Linked DNA regions of Drosophila melanogaster. The protein of the gene in region 2 interacts with the protein of the main gene of each other region in a pairwise test. Each region holds a gene or a part of one and is shown on either strand. Other genes may lie near its edges.

Region 1 (7,226 bases), 1.6 Mb from region 2:
TTCCTCCCAGGCCCCCGGATTGCTGTCCTGCTCCTCCTTGTGCGCCGGCGAAAGCGCCGAGGAGACTGCCTAATGGACTGGACGACTGCGTGGACGCAGAGGGGGAGCCACCGCCGCCCAGGAGGAGATTCGTAAATTGCGGTGCGTACAGCGAGGCCAGGGTGGCCAATCCGCCGCCCACACCGCCGCCGGAGCCACCGACACCCGGTGACTGAGTGGCAGGACGATAGTTGAACTGCTGCTGCGGCTGCTGGAAGTGCTGGGACTGCGGTGGTGGTATCTCGCCAATTTGGTACTCGTAGTAATTGTGTCCCGGCCTGGGCCGCTGGGGTAGTCCGGTCCCAGGAACTCCTGCTCCTCCATTCTGGGGATTGTACGGATAGTTTCCAAACTGCGTCTGAATCTGCACAATAAAAAAATATTGGTTAAGGGTTGCAAACTTAATATTATATAATATTTTCGCATATGTAGTTCCCTTATACTAATCCAATATGTATTGGTTTTTAGTTGGAAATAAATATCGTATTAATATTTTGTTATCCATATCTCTATATAATATATATGATTTTTCCTTGGTGTACCTGGTTGGGGTTCTGTATTTGTGTCTGCTGTGGGTTTGGCCGCTTCGAATAATTATCGAAGTTGTTTGCATAATTAGACGAGCCTGGTGGTGGTGCTCCACCTGCTCCTCCTGATCCCCCTGCTCCACCTCGATTTGGCTTGATGTCTTGGCGTTGGTACAGCGGTCGCTGCTTTGGCTGCTGGGGCACGAAATTGGAAGTTTGCTCGGCCGCATAGCTGGGCGGTGGGTAATCATGGCTATCATAGGAGATTTTGTGCGCCGCGGTGGTGGGCGGTGGTGGAAGCGAGGGCGGTGGCCTTGTGGGTCGTCGATACGATGGAGCGGGGCTTTCATCGAAGACGTAGCCAGGTCGCTTTAGATAAACATCCTCCACGTGGCCAGGATACGGCTGCTGGTGGTTTTGCTGTTGGTGACTGCCCACCAGCAGGGAAGATTGCACAGTATAGGCCTGATCGTCTTGGGCTGGCTGCTCACGTTGATATTGAATTATAGAAGGCGGAGTGGGTGTGTAGCGATAGTTCTGCTGGGTGTACGGATCCAGGTAGCTAACTACCGGCGTTGTGGGCAGCGGTGTGCTCTGAAACATCGAGTGCGAGTCCTGGGGAAAGGAGAACTGCTTGTCCAATGCCACCTGCTGTCCCAGAGAACTTGGAAGTTCGTGCTTGTAGTTCGGTTCCAAATAGCTCGGAGGATAACGGGTGTAACCAGACTGGGGCATCACATCGGAGGGCGTGAAGTCCAGCATTTGCGAGGGTCTAAATCCACCACCCGTTGTCACTCTGGCTGAAGTTTCAGGAAAACTCTGACCAACTGAAGCTTCTTCTGAGGGAAAGAAGTTTTTCAATTTCACAGATATCTGTTCGTCCTCACTGGGGAAAAAAAGTTATGCATATTTAATTTAATATATCATAGTAATGTCTCTAAAAACAGAAAGCCAAGATATAATTCTATAAATATTTCTTATTATTTATTTATTTATCTTAATGATAAATTTCTATAATTTTATTACTTTTTATAAGTTATAAGTTATAAAAAAACAAGAACATGAAGCATCTTTGCAACAGAAGCTTAGAGGCTTATTTGCATAATCAAGAGAGCTCAATCAACTTACCCGTTGCCATTTCTTATGCACGACACGTTGACGACTAATGCGATAATTAGAATTGCAATTTTGCATTGCACACTTCGCGGCTCCCATAGCAATTGCATTTTGCGGGTGGAGTTTGAGGAAAATGTGGAAAATCCCGCTGCTCACGTCAGCGATTCATAAGCTCAAGCCAAACTGTCTTCGCACGTCGCCTAAAGCGGGAAAATGGAATGGTGGAAAACATCATAAAAACTTGCTGTCAAACTCAAACTACAAAAGAATTCGCACAATTTCCGACGACTTTTGCTCGACATTTTCTTGCTACATTTGCACATAAATTTATAGATTTACCACCCACTGTTACCCCACGGGGATGCACATTTGCATTCATATTAATGCAATTCTCACGTGCTATCCGCCAAAAGGAGTTCTCCCTGCCGACGACATTTGTTTAATTCGGTTTTTTATGATTGCGCCGTGTTTATGCAACCGCACGACCGCCAGAAATAATCGGATACCATCATCTTCAGTCCCGGCGAACCAAGCAAAATTATTCGGATTATTGTCAACTTTTATTTGGCGGGACGCTGACAGGCCCTAAAAGTTTAATGCCCACAGCGATTTGGTTTCTTTTTATACTCGGCTTCTATTGGGACAAGTGTCTAGAGTGCATATAGCCAAGTTCTAAATAGTCTGGTTGTGAATATACTCATTGCCATGATTGGTCTTTGTTCGTCCTATTTCGTTAATATAAAGTTATAAGTTGTAGACTTGCAAATAAGAAAGTTCGAATTAAAGCAGTTCACTTGTATTTATGTTAAAAATCTAGCCATATAAATGACTTAGTTAAAGCTGTGCCTAAATGTTTATAAATTACTTATTAATCGAGTGCGCTAGCAGAGCTTAAAAAAGTCGTGCTCAAATATTAAAACTAATCACTTATCCTAATAGACTTTCATTCTTATTGTTATATCGTATTTACAATATCAGTGAAAGTGTGCCTTATGTTCTTGAGCAAAACTTTTCTCAACATCTTGTCTTTCTTATTGATTTCTTTGGTTTTTGGGACACACTTATTGATTTGGGGGTCTTAACTCTTTTGAGTCTTCTGCAAACCATAAATTTCACCATAAAATATGCACAGTTTGTCGCCTTGTTTAGTGCGTCATTTAGCGCTCTTCGATTTCCATTTGCATTTAAAGGGAGTCAAGGTTGTTTTACCAGACGCTTTAAAAAGGCACTTTTTAAAGATGACGCACAGAAAATTTCGAAAATATTTGGTTAAAGTCTTACTGTGTTCGCAGCATCTGTGCCGAGTTAAAAATATATTATTTATGTTTGTGCTTGTGCGATATAAAAACAACTCCTATGCCAAATGTCTTGTTGAATATAAAATTTAAATTCCTTGCAATTGCGAACGGAGACGGGCAACAGACTTTTCCAGCAGTAATTGCAGCCAAAAATTTTATGATCCCATCCGGAGGGGGAAGGATATGGCGGGGATATTCGGGGAAGTATCAGAAAACTGCATTTGCCGCTTGCTGGCGCCAGAGGGCGCTGCACTAAACCAAAAGACAGCAGACGGCAATGGAAGTTTACAACAAGAAATGGCAGCTAATATTAGAAGGGGCGGCTGACTGCAGCAGGTGCAAGGATCACAAAATGCACATCGATGGGGTGGGGGGGGTGGGGAAGGACACTGACAACGACACCCAAACGAGAAGGCGGCGACACGAAAGGACACTTTACGCTCGAGATGCGTTCCAAATTGTGCGGGCAAAGACGAACACGGATACGGATGCGGATATGGCGTACGTGTTGTGAATTCTTTGGGCAAGTATCCCCTGCTTGTCAAATTACATAATCCACTCAACACGCCTCCCTGCTCCAACGCCCACCAATTAGCTTTAATGTCCAAGGCGTGCTGAGGTTCGAATTGAGTCTTATTGAAGGACTCGCACAGAAAAAAAAAATTAAATCAGAATGGGGAAGTTAATATTTTTGGAAGCTTTAGCCAGATTTAAGTTCTTAGAGCGACACACAGTTGAAACTTTAAAATATCGCATTATTATTTACTATTTAATTTGTTTTTGTTTTCATTTGTTCCACTTCACAAATAAATGCAATATAAGTAACTCCTTTAAATTAGCTCAACTTAATGTTGAGATTTATTTTGTTTTAAACCATTTCATTGTGCACTCAATGAGACACCGATTTTTGTAATGCCATTTTTGCGCAATTCTTTGCTGCTTCCACTTCTTTCCACAATCCACAACTTTCTTTTCGGTCTTCCTGGCTGGTTGAACTCGAAAATTGCCCAGTTGCGTTTCTAGGCACAAATGCTATGCTTTGTTTGCTTTTTGAATTGCTACATTTGAGGAGCTTATTTAGGGGCCCGGCTTTTGATTTCGATTTGCACACTTTCGGTTTCGATTTTCGCCGTGGGTTTTTTCCCAACTTACTCACTGCACTTTTGTGTTCGGTGCCGCTTCTTTTTCTCCGCGTGTCTCAAACGAAACTGAAAGCGAAATGCGATTCGAAACTGGTTAACTTTTGAGCTAAAGCTACGCAACGGAGGACGTAAGCGTTGTAAAACTAAAGCTAAAAGCCAAGCGGAGACGCAGATTCGACGACGACGTCTTTCCGGCTTTAAGTTCGGCGATCGTTTGACACGCGACGCCGGCGCAGAAAAGCCACCAAGCCATTTCTCTGCAGATATGTATGTGTGTGTATCCGAAGTCTTAAGGCCTGGCCGAGAGAGAGCTCCACTACCACTCGACTTGGCCAGGTGGATAAGCGTTAACGGGGAGTACAGAGAAGCTCGACCAGTTGGGTCTCTTTGAAGGTCAATGGTTAAAAGTTAAAATAAAGTTGGGCTTTTCCAACAAAATATACATTTAAAATATGAACTTTAGGCGTGTTTTTCACTAAAGCAGTTCCAATGATCAGATTAGCAGTTTTTACGGCGTAAGAGTTTTTTATTTTGTTACTACTCTTATTGAGTTGATAACAAATAGTCTAAAAGCTAAAAGTAAAAAAAATCCAGTTAGTTTTTTAAACGTAGTTATTTAAAAGTGTATGTTAGGGTATAATTAGAACTCTTTCAGTATTTAGCTAAGTATTTGAGCTTTATAACCATAAAAAAATTGTTGCAACATGGCTAACGAACTACTTAAACTATTACACTAACCAAACCGATTTCTCAGTACTTAACTCTGAGCAGATCATTCAACTCACTTACACACGGCGTTATCAATTACAATTACATCTGCTTAATTGCCGCATTTGTTACACTTTTCGAGTGAGAAATGATTGACCAACGAGGCAGTTGGCCAGCACAATGGCTTAATTATAATGGGCCAAAAGACGGTAGGCGACCAGCAAATTGTCGGCCAGTCTGAGTGAAAGTTGAGGCTCTCTGGTGAGCAGGCGAAGCAGCTATCAAGCAAATCAGCTAACAAGACCCAACAGCCAAACTGAACCCAACTGAAACCGAAACTGACTCGAGTTGAGTAATTTTCTGCTCTAGTCCCCCCAAAAATGGCTTTCTTTTACCATCCCATGTTGTTGGTAATAATAATTTACACGTTTTTATCGCTGCTGAGGTAACCAACCCAGCATCATCCACGGACTGTTATTGGGACAGATTTGGCGGTCAAACGAAAGCAAAATCAAATATCATCCAAAAATCGTGGGCTGTTCCCCGAACTGAACTGACTCCCAAATGGCTCACAATCTGTGCCAATGTCTGTCATTCAACCCGGTACGCTTCTTTTTTTTTTTTGTTTTTCGCCAGTCTCGCAATTTGTTTACATTCGGCCGAGTTATGCAAAAAGCTCGAACTGCCTTCTTCGGTTCATGATTGATGAATGGCGGCATGTCGGTGGATTTTTATATCCGCCTGTGGGAGTATCTGGGTGTGCTGGCCGACCATGAAAGGTCGTCGATGAGTCGTCGATTTGCCATCCAACTCACGTTACTTTTGTGGTAAAGCCCAAGACAGCAATCATAGATGCAAGCTTGGTCAAAATAAAAATGCCGAAAAAAGGTTGTTAGCTTTGTAATTGATGATATCAAAAGTCAAAAATTATTAGTAATTATTATTATAAAAAATTATTCATAATAAGCTTATTAAAACAGTAAGAAGTCCAATCGAGTTACGAAACCTTTTTTAAGGCAACAATTTTTTGAAAGTTAGGATTGTTTCGAGTTTTAGTAATACCAAACAACAAAGTTGTGCAAAATAACATTTTTTAGGGACTAACAAGGGAACTAACAAAAATTTGGTTAACAATGCTTACAAATTTTAAAAATTTTATATTTTGTTAAAAATATTTAATGTTAATATTAAATTTATTAAATATACACTTTTAGTTACTGCATTTTTGGCTCATTAGAGGTTCTTAAAATATAACTATCATGATATTAGGAGTGCCTAATAAAAATAAATCTAAATGTAATAAATATGTTGAAAATATCGAAGAAAACAAAAAAGCACGCACGCTATGAATAATAATATATAACAAATTTCAAATATTTCATTTTTTGTAAATAATTATACATACTTTTGTCCAATTGTGAAGTGCACGGACGCGTATAATCGTGATAGAATGAAAAAGGTTTTTACTGACCCATCATCTCACGTGAGCTAACTTATATACATATTTCCCGGTGCGGTAAAGAGACTTAAATGGAAAGTCGGTCCTCTGTATTTAATCAAAGGGGTCCTGGCTGCAGGTTTGTGTACAGAGGTTGTTGAAATTATTATGAAATGCCTGTTGGCATGCAGGAAACGAACTTTGCGCGCAGTTCGAGCCATATTCTTCCGACCGTGCTGGGTCCTAGACAAATGACCACTTATCAACGTGTAATGAAATATGGTACATCTGCTGCCATAAAAGACGGCCCGGCCCCAGTTGGCGCCTTTGTCCTTGGCTGGTCAGCCTTTTGTCCTGCGCTGGCATGTCGTATGAATTATGTTGATGGCCCCCCGCATTTCCCCTTCCCAGCATCGTGCGGGTCTCATTTATTACATTTTGGCTTTTTGACAGATTGCTAAGCGTAGTAAGCGTTTCCGCACTAATTTCCGTGTCCTGCAACTATTCGTTGTCTGGTCGGTTTTATGCACTCGAAACAAATGTGTTGAACTTTCTTAAAAAAAATCGAACGAGGAAAAATATTTCATTTCTATTTTAAAGTTTAATTTACTTCTTTTTTTATGGCGCAGAAAATTATATTTTCAAATGAAATACGCATATTTTTCCACAGTGTACCGGGTCAGTATTAAAAGCCAAAAGCAAATTACTCATCACATCAACGGTCAGCAAGGATCTGCTTTTCTGGTTGCTTTTTATTATGTATGCCATGTACAGGGATTTTAATAAATCGTTTGCTACCATCTAGCATATACCTACTCGTCTCTCGTTGGACATCCTTTTAGCTTGGATATCCTGGGTTTTTATTAGTTTGTCAATAAAGTGCCAAAAGACGTTGATTATGATCGTCATATATTGCCGCTCTTATGAGTTATCCAGCTGATGGCCTGAAGGCCAGTTG
Region 2 (5,691 bases):
TGAAATTGTCTGCACCCGCCGCTGCGGGGAGGCGTCATAAGTCAGGAGCTTAAAATACATACGTAGGAAATCATTGGAATGTTTCGACTCTGCGAGACGATGGCCTCCACATAGCAAGGTCCTTCCGGGCCAAAAATGGTGGCGATGCCATCGCATATCATCTCGGTGATGGCCTTGGTGGCCAGTACCGTGTCCCCCTTGGTGTCATTCCAGCGCAGATCCAGGTACACATTTGGCAGAAGATTGGGATCTTTGTTGACCTGTTTCCGGAACGAAAACGAAAGACTTTCAATAACAATTCTATCTAAAAAAAAAAAGGTACAACTTTGATGACGCAGTTTGAATACTATCGAGTTCAGATATTTGCTATTATTACAAATAAATCGAAGCTAGTACTTACCTCATCCAGGGCCATAGTCAGGGCACCGGAAATGGCCAGTCCCTGACGCGTCTTGAGATCGCCAGTGAGGGCCGTTAGGTAGCCGACAGTGAGGACGGTGCGATGATTGCTACAGTCGCGTACCGCCACCGACAGCAAGAGTAGTAGATTAAAGGGCCAACGCGTCATGGCCCCTTAGGCCGGGGCCGTTCAGCGCGACGCCTATGGGTCCCAACGGATTCTCACACTGCAATGATGGGAACGGAGAAGAAGGATCAGTTGAGAGTAGGACCAGAGACAGGAGCAGAAGCGTTGCGCGAGGAGCAGGACCGAGCCGAAGCTAAGTGAGGACGCAATTGAAACTGCCAAGGACCCCTTTGCATAATAAAAATGCATGTTTGACAAAGGCAAACACAAATAGAAAACAGCATGCTGAACGCATTTCAGACACTTGGCTTGATTCAGACGAAAGAGCTGCAAGGCAGAGAAGCTGGAAAGCAGCTGCAGTCCGACTGCCCAGGACACAGAGAATAAATTATGGCAGGATATAATATTAAAGACTCTAAAATAAATGTATTCTTAAGCAATTACGTTCGAAATTAACATACTATATCAATTCTTAGCTTATTTAAACAACTGCTTTACTCAAAAATACCAAACTAAATTGGGAATCAAGTAGGACGATTATTTTTCTCTGTTTATCAATAAGCTGGAACTGCTGAGTGTCGCAAAGGACGCAAAAGGGAAATGACGCTGGGTGTACTCCAACAGGCAACCGGATGCCAGGCAAGTGCCCACGCAGGGAAATGTCAAATGTTGGAATGTCCAACTTCAATATCGTTGACCACTCGTCCGTCGGCAGCCGAAACGAGCTTAGGAATTTTTTAATTAGGCTGTTCAGTTCTTTGCCATGGGAATTGGGAGCGAATCACTGATAAGTAGCTTATCAGCTACTGCAGAGGCCTTTTTCCACCAAGGAATGCCATATACATTCGTACATATGTATCCTCCGGAATGGAGGCCCATAATGCGGAGCGCACAGCTTGTTATTATTAATTATGCATGCGTTGATTTTGCCATTATGCAATTTCGTTTGAGGCATTAAATATATATATCGCCGGCGATTTCGTTTCAGACATATGTTTGTTATTATCCCTGTCCACGCCAACACAATCCCTCCCCACAGCATTGTCCTGATTGTTTGCGCTAAAGCGAAAGCTTATTCCATGGGATTGGATTACTCAACTGTTCGGTCGGATGATGGCGTTCATCCCTGTTTGTCTTTTTTTTTTTTTTTAACAGGCTCACGTGTAAGTTTAATTAAAAGAATAAAAGAAATGCGAAAGCCAGTATATAACGGAATGTAGGGCAACTATTTGATTATAGTTAATTTAAAAAAAAGTTGCCACAAACGACTGGGACATCGGTTAACTGTGGAGCACATTAAATTTCCAGCAATAGAACATAAAATTGATTAATATCGAATTGCTTTGAAAAGCCATAAGCTGAGTTTAATTAAAAGCAAAACCAATCCTTAAGACATGATAAGAGACTTAGGAAAACCTTAGGAATTCACAAATTTTCCTGATAATTTCAAACAAATATTCACGAGGAATTCAAAGTGTAGCCACTTAGACGCGGGTAATCTTTAGAGCACCCCAATCTCAATCAACAAAATGCTCAAGCAGCCAGCCATAAATTTGCATTTTCGACACACTTCGCAAACCATATTTGTTTTTGTTTTTTAAGCTGTATATTCTTCAATGTTGCAATTTAAAATTAGAACTACTTGGCTGGGCTAGCTAAATTTGGGCGCCACTGATAAATATTTGCGCACCATTTTGACACAATGCGAAACGCGTTTCCAAGAATGGCATTTGAATACATTTATGTGTGGCTAAGGCGGAAATCGTCTTTCCTAGAATCTAGATTAGCAGATCTTCTTGTTTAATACGTATATAGATTGGTCTATAAACAACCTATTTAAGTTAAAAAATACTTAAGTCGGTATCATGGATGTAAATAGCTGTTGCGCTGAAGTAGACAAAATCTAAAAACCATTTCAATTTCATTGATGAGTTTTTAACTAAGCTAATTGAAAAACTCTGAATGTACTCCTTTAGCATAGTAAGGTGTAATGCTCACATAGAGCTAGAACACCTTAAAATTTGTTGGAATAATCATATAGTTTCAACTATTACAATTACTTTAAATGTAAAATGGAAATACTATATTCAAGGACCTATAAGAACGTAGCAATACCTTTTCAAATTGCGTCAAATGGGCTCTCATTTTCATAATCAGATCCCCGTAGGTCTGAAATCTCACATCATGTTCGTTATTTGTCAGTTGTTGGTCTAGAAATTTTTGTCTTTCCGACTCGAAAGTTTTCACCTTTACCCGTCGAACGCTCCTCCGGCAAAAGACACTCAAAATTCGATGTTTACTTGAAATCCAAAGCCCGTGCTTAGAGCGTAGTGGAGTGGAGAGGAGTTGCGGCAATCCTGAGCTCGATCCCGAATCCGAGGACATAGTGCTGTTGACGGGTTCGATCACTAGATCCCCACATAAACCACCAACTCTATACCCACACGTGCGCCTTGAAGCCTAGGGGTCATTGCACTTGCGAACTATGTGACAGTGGCACTACGGAAACAGCGCCAGGGCCGGGTTTACCACTGCGTCTCCGGAGCACCAGGATCCGGAAACGCAACCTAAGATTAAGACGTCGCTGAACACAGGATCCGAGGACCAACAACCGATCCCCGGGCGATCAAAAACCCGGCGCCATGGCCATTCACGAGCAGATCGACAACCTGAACATCTGGTGGTTTCCGCGCGACTTCTGTCAGTCGCGATTCGGGGAGTTCCAGCGGAGCGGCACCAACTCCTGCACCATCATTTCCCTAATACTGGCCGACAAGGTGGCCAAGGCGGACAGATTCTATCACAGGGTCTCCGATCTGCCGCTGCGGGGATGGGAGCTCTTCGGCAACGCCATTAACGACGGAAACAGCGTGTACCACAATGTGATTACAACTAATACGCCGCACGCCAGGAATCTCAACCTCAACATTCCGGATGCTATCGCCGCCATTCGGTCGCAGCACAAGATGAACTTCCGGCTGGAGGAGTGGTTTTACACGCACATGGAGGCCGATCCCAGCAATCCCATGTACAACCGGAACGTTGCTGTGCAGTTGTCGCGGGTTTTCCAGATAACACTCCAGATGTTCCAGCACGCCAGCGTGCGAAACAATGTACCCACTAACCTCTTCGCCGCCATCATAGCGGACAGTCGAACGGTGATGGTAACCTTCGATTTCCGAGCCTCGATCGTCGCCCTCTTCGACTCCCACCAACACGGCCGGGATGCGGGAGCCGTCTTCGCCCAGTGCACGCTCGAGAACATGGACGACCTGCTCTTCTGGTTCATCAGCATGTTACACAATGTCTACTCCAGCCGGCCCTCGCTCTTCGAAATCTCCTTCCTCAGCTCTCAGCCGGGGGTGGCCAAGAACATTCCGCCGGCCATCCAAAAAAAGATTGCCGCAGACCTGAAGAAGCCGTTTAAGATGAACATGCCTAAGCACTAATCATGTTGCCAGGTTTACTACAAAGTCGCCAACATCCAAGGACGTCGATCTAGGCGCGGGCCAACCTTTCGGAACCCATTTTTGGGGCTATTTTAGGACAAAATCTCAAGTTTCATATAGCAAAATTTGTGTGTTAAGCGTTTAGAAATTTAATTCAAAATTCTCTGTTGACCATCAACTAATAAATAACGAACTCCAATTTGCATTGTATCCTTAAAGACAGATTTTGCAAGATTTAGCTATATGGTAAGTCTAGTCTGTTCAAGGTTGATACAAGATTGATTTCCGACCCTATAAAGTATAAGTGCAGTCTCTCAATGTCCGTCTGTTTGTTGTCCGTATAATCATCGAAATCTTAGGAGCTATAAACAGTTAGCTGGAACTGCTAAGAAGTAGAAACTTCTTGGTCGTTGAGCTAAGTAACTGGTATCAAAGAGTCGGACAAGAGGACAATAATGTTCTCTATCGTTTAGTTAAAAGTTCTTTAAGGCACGCAGTTAATCGTCGGATTCAAAGAATGAAGACAATATACTTTTGCAAGTCACCTAAACAACTTTCCATGTTGTTATGTACATACATGTGAACGTATGAAAAATTTAACTCCTAATTAATGCTGAACTAAATAATGATATAGAAATTATTTAATTGTGAGCACGTATGTATTTACCTTTCTGTTGATATTTGCCTATTTTCTATTCCTCTTACCTAATTACACTTGAGTAAACAATTAGTTCGGGAGAGCCGAACATCTGTGTGGGGGATTTTATGCATTAGCGGATGTGGGCTGTTTGCTGTTTTGGCCACCCCAGCTAACCGAAAGTCGAGTGGCTTTAATAACAAAGGCGCAAGAGTTAAAGTTGAACTTTGTAACGGGAATCGAGCGACGAGTATGCGGTGCGCGTGTGGCTCTGCCGTATTTTTCTCGACTTCTAATCAAAATGAGTTAAATAAACACATAACGTAACCTATTAAGAACTTAGTACGTGACAACAATTTAAATATTTATAAAGTAAACAGAGAGTGCGAGAGAGAGAGAGAAAGAGAGAGCTAGTGAAGAGGAGAAGGCGAGGGGCAAAGGAGGAGCGTCTAAAAATAGAGCCACATATCAAAGAAAATATGAGAAACAAATCGAAAACCGAGGCGCAAGACGTGATAAAACGTTTAACGTTAAATGTGAAAAGCAGCCGCGGAGAGGCCAAAACAGAGAAATAGACAAAATGAGAGAGGAAATCGCAGAGGGAGAGAGCGTGCAACTGAGTTGTAATCAACAAATAAAGAGCTACAAGTTGTGTAATGTGAAAATATAAAAATCGCGTAGCCGCAACGTGGGCCGCATTTAACATGATGCTCTCTTGTTCTCTTGCTCTCTGGCTGTCTCCGTCTCCATCTCTCTCACTCCGTCCATCCTCTCTGTCGCACAGCGCAACAAGTTGCAGTCGGCGGCGGGGAACCGTCTTTATTGCACTTTTCAGACGAAGTTTTTTGCTGCTGCACGTGTGTATACACACATACATTCATACTTATGTATGTGCGTACAAATTGTCGAGTTGTCTAAAAATAAAACCTGCATACTAAAAATAGAAACCAGACGCGAACACGACAATCCATTGGCCGTTGGATAAACCAACACGACATTACATTGCACATATATCGACAAACAAACATCACCAGGGGAGCTCCTCGCAGGCAAAGTGGGTGAAGTGGCGATTTTTGAGG

The links. The genes of interacting proteins can lie anywhere in the genome.
Region 1: the proteins of Vtld (region 2) and CG13699 interact in a two-hybrid assay, tested with the Drosophila melanogaster proteins (one large-scale study listed by BioGRID).

Annotation. Positions count from the first base shown.
Region 1 is NT_037436.4:18,158,175-18,165,400, forward strand, and holds the start of CG13699 (uncharacterized protein), read right to left. Parts: upstream 4,349-7,226; 5' UTR 4,133-4,348; intron 1,883-4,132; 5' UTR 1,793-1,882; coding exon 1,695-1,792; intron 1,453-1,694; coding exon 582-1,452; intron 404-581; coding exon 1-403.
Region 2 is NT_037436.4:19,757,663-19,763,353, forward strand, and holds Vtld (viral tegument-like deubiquitinase), read left to right. Parts: upstream 1-2,746; 5' UTR 2,747-3,168; coding exon 3,169-3,975; 3' UTR 3,976-4,155; downstream 4,156-5,691. Other genes in the region: Gyc76C (guanylyl cyclase at 76C), read right to left, coding at 63-260, 401-568.